Linked DNA regions of Kluyveromyces lactis. The protein of the gene in region 2 interacts with the protein of the main gene of each other region in a biochemical or structural test. Links are inferred from orthologs where the notes say so. Each region holds a gene or a part of one and is shown on either strand. Other genes may lie near its edges.

Region 1 (3,865 bases), on a different chromosome or scaffold from region 2:
TCCGTTACTTTTGTCTACCCAACAGCAAGAGCCTTTGTTGAATCAGGATGAGTTAGATTTTCACACGATAATTCAACATGAAAGATCCCAGGACATATCAAAAATCCACTCTGCTGTGCAAGAGGTCAATGCCATCTTCAAACAACTAGGAAGTCTGGTACAGGAACAGGGCGAACAAGTTGACACAATTGGCGAAAATGTGACAGGATTATCTAATAATTTGCAAAAGGCGAACAAAGAACTTCACAAAGCAAATGAATATCAAAGGAAAAAGAACAGATGTGGTACAATACTTCTAGTAGCTATTGTTGTTATCACTCTAATAACTCTTATCGCGATTCTATCATAGGGTTAGATTCTACGAGGAATGTAACTATATATTAATACAAAATTTATCTCTGGCCTTATACTTGGATGAAAGTTACGTTACGTTTTAGAGAACACGCATCATCAGGTAAATATGTCCGACTTAGAGGTTACAACTAATTATTAATCATAGCTTACTTGTCAGTATCCTTTTTAGTGCTTTCGGAGGAGTTATTTTTGGATAGTTCATAAGACTCAACATTCTTGAGATCTCCACGTTCAATGACAAGATTTTTGAGAAGTCTGTTTTCCATTTCAAGGGTATTGATTCTTTGCTTCAAGTCACAAGCTAACTGTGAAAGATCTTGGACCCAAGTTTCCATTTCTTTCTCTTTAAGTTTTTTAGTTTGATCCAAGTTCGGCAGTTTGGGTCTTGAAGAAAGGGTTGAGGAAGTGGACGACGATTCTACACCATCACTGGAGGAATTGTTTTTATCAGAATCAGTATTATGCTTTTTTTCGTTTATCTTCTCATCGAGACTCTTAGCAGCATTTTCCTTGTCATTGAGAAGTTCTTCCGATTGTCTCACCTCTTCCTTCAATTTAGCAGACGTTACATCCTTCCTAAGAGAGGAAGCTGATTCTAGTTTCCTGACAACTGATTTTGGTGTTTTACTGATACCATCATCCAGTGTTTGCTTTGCAGAATTCTCTTCGCTTTCTTTCTTTATGTTGTTAGAAATTGAGCCGTGGTGCACTTTCGGTGAGTTTTTCATATATGTATCAATAACTCTAGACTCTTTTTCCACTGGAGTTTTTTTGGCTCTTTTTGGATTAGGTTTATGGACACTTGATTGAGGAGATGGCTCAGGTTTTTCATGCAAAAAATCCAATAGCATGCCAACGGAGCTTTGAATATGTTCTTGAGGTTCAGGAACCAGTTGATTTTGCGAATTCACATCTATCGATGAGCCCAGATGGGAAGCTGACGATGGTGGTCTATTTGTAGAGTGATTATTTAAATTAGTTGGCTTCCTCACAGGAGGATCAAACTTTTCTCTTTCTCTTTCATAATAAGCCATAATAGCAGCTATGGCGTCAATCTGTTCTGGTTTAAAGCCAACATTACGCAAAGACTGGTAAGCACCTCTGGGAACATTAATGATAGGCAACAATGATACCAAAGTCGCAGTTTGTATTGTAGAGTAGTCTGGCATCTGTATATTTGATTCAAATCCTGATGTTGCAGCCGTACTTGGACGATACGGATTTTCGTTGCTATTGACATGATTATTACCATGGTTACTAGCTGTGTTGACGATTGAAGAGGCAGACGATACAGTGGTATTGGACGGATATGACATTGAAGTTAAATCATATGCGGCTAATAAATTTGTTAGTGGGGAAGTGGCAAACGGCATATCTCGTTGGCGGTTTGCACTTGTGCCATTTAGGTTGCCTGTATTATGACTATTGGATTGGTCTTGAACATCAAAGTGTGTAAATCCTCCATGATCGGGGATCGGAGAATTCTGTGTCGATGACCTTTTCCTCGAAAACCGTTGCCGCGTATGATCATACTGGTTTCCCAGCAGGTTTGATTTTCTATCGAACAAGTTTCTCTTTTCCGAAGAGTTTCTGTTATTATTATTATTATTATTATTATTATTATTATTATTGTTATTATTACTATTATGATTGTTACCACTGTTATTATTATTGTTATTGTCGATGTTATTATCATTAGTACTAGGATTAGCATTGTTGTTCAATCCGAAGTTATGGTTGCTGTTGTAATGGTCGCCGTTGTCATCGCTATCATGTCTATCAGCTTTGTCTTCATCTGGGAAAATAAAAGTCTCATCTGCGAAAACACTCAATTCCGCCGCTAAACGTTCATCCATCGCGAGCTGATTATCTGCACTTAAACCACCAACTTGATGATTCAAGGGCATCCCACTAAATGAATTTACAGTGTCACCATGAGGTCCCTCATTGTTGTAAAAAGAATTTGTCACATTGGGTCCAAAGTCAGAGTTAAAATCAGTAATAAAATTATCAACAAACGCTAGTTGTTCCAAAAGAATGCTAGGGGTAACATCATTATTCACATCAGCAGGGGGGTTAATCAACGAATGTAAGTGATTCGATGCGGTAGATGGAGAATGTGTCGAGAATTCCGGACTGTTCCCCCAAATGTTGTCCATACCTTGACTGGGATGACTATCATTAGGATTTCGAATATGATTATCCATATTCCTTGCACCAACACCGCTACTGCTGCTACCAGTGCGCTTAAGATTATTGGAAGTTCCACTATTCATAGCGGAAAGAATGAGAGAAGCCGGCTCGATAAATAAAGATTCACTGTCGTTATTCCCTGGAACTAAGGCTCAAATTTGAATGTGGCCTTTCACTCGATGCTGTTGATATCAACAGTAGACGATGATTGAAAATACTTTAGTTTGTATTATTCTTCAGCTCAGGTCTCGTGCAATTTCATCAAAAGTCGGGAAAAAAATGAGGAAAGGGAAAAGAAGAAGAAAAAAGTAATCACCAAACTGTGGAACGTCTATTACCCGGACAAGAAAATTACCCGGATACAGACATTACATCAGCCACAGTACAAACTGCACGTGATACGAAGCACGTGATTTGTGTTCCCTCGTGTTGTTCGCTTTTTTCTTTTCTTGCTTTCCTCCGGTTTCTGCGATCACCCGCGGAAAAATGTTTATTTATCCATCAGTATTAGTGCCTACATTCTCATTTCTCGAGTCAGTAAGCAACCCCGCATTTTATTGCTGGAGTGTTACCGCGTAGATGCTCTCACACAGATAGAAAAGCTCGCTGATCTAAAGAATGATTATACATATCGTAAAGAGAAAAAACAGCACACTAGTGACAGTTTGAAAATCCAGCACAGCAAGTAAACACTCATCCGATGCTCTCCCTATACCTGATCTTTCAGTACTAATGCCGACCGCCGGTTGCCGATCGCCGTTTGATTATTGTGTTTTGCTTGAGGTCGTTACCTGCGTTTGCCAAGTCTTTTTCTTCCTTCAAGATAAGGAGCTTGTAATCTAATCTTCAGAGATGAAAATCTGATAGATAGCGTAAACTAGGGAATCGACAAGACCCCATCGCAAATTATCGAGGACAAGAACAGGAGGTGCGATAAATATCTCCCGACTGACCTATGCATATCAAAAAAACTTTCTTGTCTCCTACCAGTTTGCTCTTACTGTTTCGTGAAATACGGATTAAAGTTTCCTTTTCCATGTTTCTTTTCCATTTTCCTGTGCTTTTCTTTTTTTTACAAAAAACTGGAAAGGAAAAATGAAAAAGAAACATAGTGAGGGTAAATACGGGTTGGTACGGGAAAAGAGCAGCAGAGACACAATTCTATTAGCAGGATAAAACGGCTACGATATTGCGGCTAGTAAAACACAATTTGATCATCTGTGTAAGTAAGAGCTATTGCTCCTTGCATAGATTACCTTGTTGCTCTATCTCCGTTCCTTCCTATCACCTGAGAATTTCCCTCCGTAGTTTTCTCGGT
Region 2 (2,932 bases):
CGCCTACGGCAGCCTACATGCCTATCAGAGAACTTCTTGGACTCCTTACTTAATGAAGTCCCTTTCCTCGGATGCTGAATGGAGAAAGACCATACAGCTCAATATGATGGAAAGTGTCACCTGAGTATACGACAAAGGCGTTAAGAACACCGCTATCATAAAAAGAGTCGAAAAAAAAGTGTCATCTAGGACTATAAGACAAGTAATATCGAAGAGATTCTGGGCAGTCCGAATTATCCCGCCAGGAACCTCAATGACAGAGATATTTGGCCTGGGTATGTTCCGGGAGCATCTGAAAGGTCAAGAATGAATTTAGGAGAAGCCAGGCAGATAAAATATGATGTATGTTACCCTGATTTAATCACGTGGATGACTTCGAGTCACTTTTTTCGTCTGTCTGTATCTTAGATTCTCCCCGCAAGTCTAAAAAAAAAGGATAAACTTCATTGTTCCATGAGTTTCCATGGTTACCTCTGCATATACACACTGTACTGCAGAAGGTATCAGTGGATACAAAGCGGTATGCTCTTTACTCTGAACAATCAAAGTTAGCAGTTCATTCCATATATCCCCGCTCTTCGTCATGCAATCATAAACCTCAAGTCATGGCGATCTGTAAGCCGGAGAAAAGATTCATTGCAAACAGTTAAAGATACAAGGCTGAAATACAGAGATGGCTGCAACGTAACAGATTCCAAACTGCCGGTTTTCCATCGAATTCCCTCTCGGGAAATTTTTCTTTTCAAACGGCCACCTTAGGCCGAGCGAAACTGATTACACTGGATGCTTTTATATAAATAGTGATCACTTGGGCGGCCGCCTTTTTTTCTCTCGTATTTGCCACTTCTGATTGTTCTTTCCCCCGTTTATTCTCTAAATACGTTTATCTTTTTCTAAGATATTATTCGGGTTAGATACTATTACTACCTATATCGCATTCATATATCTATTCTGAAAGTTTGGACAGCATAGCAGCTATCATTATTGTTCTTATTTTCATTTTTTGTGCTATATTCTCCGTTATTAGTAAGAACTGATAGGGAGATAAAATAAAAGAAATAAGCGAACAAGTTCCTTTTTTTTTAAAAAAAAAAGGGAGTATATATAAAAACAAAAGGGTTATTTTGGCAGTTTGTTTCCTGATATTATTAACAACATCATATTGGTTAAGAAGGAGCATCAAGAGTTTCTCTCATAGAAGATACTGACTCAAGGTTATACTATTTCACCCCAAATTATTTACCCCCCCCCCTCTCATTCCCCTTAAAACTAGATCAAGAGAAAACATGCAAATTTTCGTTAAGACTTTAACTGGTAAGACTATCACTTTGGAAGTTGAATCTTCTGACACCATCGATAACGTGAAATCGAAGATTCAAGACAAAGAAGGTATCCCTCCAGACCAACAAAGATTAATTTTTGCAGGTAAGCAGTTGGAAGATGGCAGAACCTTGTCTGACTATAACATCCAAAAGGAATCCACTTTACATCTTGTCTTGAGATTAAGAGGTGGTATGCAAATTTTCGTCAAAACCTTGACTGGTAAGACCATCACTTTGGAAGTCGAATCTTCCGACACCATCGATAACGTCAAGTCTAAGATTCAAGACAAAGAAGGTATCCCTCCAGACCAACAAAGATTAATTTTTGCAGGTAAGCAGTTGGAAGATGGCAGAACCTTGTCCGATTACAACATCCAAAAAGAATCCACTTTGCATCTTGTTTTGAGATTAAGAGGTGGTATGCAAATTTTCGTCAAAACCTTAACCGGTAAGACCATCACTTTGGAAGTCGAATCTTCCGACACCATCGATAACGTCAAGTCTAAGATTCAAGACAAAGAAGGTATCCCTCCAGACCAACAAAGATTAATTTTTGCAGGTAAGCAGTTGGAAGATGGCAGAACCTTGTCCGATTACAACATCCAAAAAGAATCCACTTTGCATCTTGTTTTGAGATTAAGAGGTGGTATGCAAATTTTCGTCAAAACCTTAACCGGTAAGACCATCACTTTGGAAGTCGAATCTTCCGACACCATCGATAACGTCAAGTCTAAGATTCAAGACAAAGAAGGTATCCCTCCAGACCAACAAAGATTAATTTTTGCAGGTAAGCAGTTGGAAGATGGCAGAACCTTGTCTGACTATAACATCCAAAAGGAATCCACTTTACATCTTGTCTTGAGATTAAGAGGTGGTATGCAAATTTTCGTCAAAACCTTGACTGGTAAGACCATCACTTTGGAAGTCGAATCTTCCGACACCATCGATAACGTCAAGTCTAAGATTCAAGACAAAGAAGGTATTCCTCCAGACCAACAAAGATTAATTTTTGCAGGTAAGCAGTTGGAAGATGGCAGAACCTTGTCTGACTATAACATCCAAAAGGAATCCACTTTACATCTTGTCTTGAGATTAAGAGGTGGCATCTAATGGTAAAGATTTATTTCATATTTCCGATTACTGGAGTGAAACTCGATAGGGAGTTTATTAACGAGCTTGAGACCACGCAAAGCCGTTGTATCATTTATACTCAATTCAATTTTTTTTTTTTTTGCATTTTTTTTTTTTCCTTACATTCTTTGGATAAAAAGTTTAGGGTCTTGTATATATTATATACATTTTCAGAGATACATAACAACTATGATAATGTTATAAATAGTAGAAGATAGTAATATATCATCCGTTGGCAATTTCTACTGAGATATTCCAATATTTAAAGCTTCAGCTTTCAATACTGAGGAGTCATCCACTCTAAGAATCTCCAAAATGCCAAAGTCGACCATGGTATTGGTGTGGGGGAACTTTTCTTTCAATAGCCCACCATACCTTATCAGCTTTATCTTGACACTTTCAATAACTTCTTTCTTGTTGCATAGAGCGTGGCCATATTTCCAGATATCAATGAAAATGTGAGATACATCATTTGAGGA

What was found. The genes of interacting proteins can lie anywhere in the genome.
Region 1: the proteins of UBI4 (region 2) and MET4 form a complex in vitro, tested with the Saccharomyces cerevisiae proteins (2 studies listed by BioGRID). The link is inferred for Kluyveromyces lactis from reciprocal best matches to the Saccharomyces cerevisiae genes UBI4 and MET4.

The regions. Positions count from the first base shown.
Region 1 is NC_006039.1:1,125,504-1,129,368, reverse strand, and holds MET4 (Met4p), read right to left. Parts: upstream 2,631-3,865; coding exon 501-2,630; downstream 1-500. Other genes in the region: SNAP receptor VAM3, read left to right, coding at 1-349. UniProt on the Saccharomyces cerevisiae protein: Positive trans-acting factor capable of stimulating the transcription of the MET genes from the methionine biosynthetic pathway. MET4, MET28 and CBF1 are required for full induction of MET25 and MET16 gene transcription.
Region 2 is NC_006041.1:74,448-77,379, reverse strand, and holds UBI4 (ubiquitin), read left to right. Parts: upstream 1-1,286; coding exon 1,287-2,432; downstream 2,433-2,932. Other genes in the region: ECM29 (Ecm29p), read right to left, coding at 2,696-2,932. UniProt on the Saccharomyces cerevisiae protein: Ubiquitin exists either covalently attached to another protein, or free (unanchored).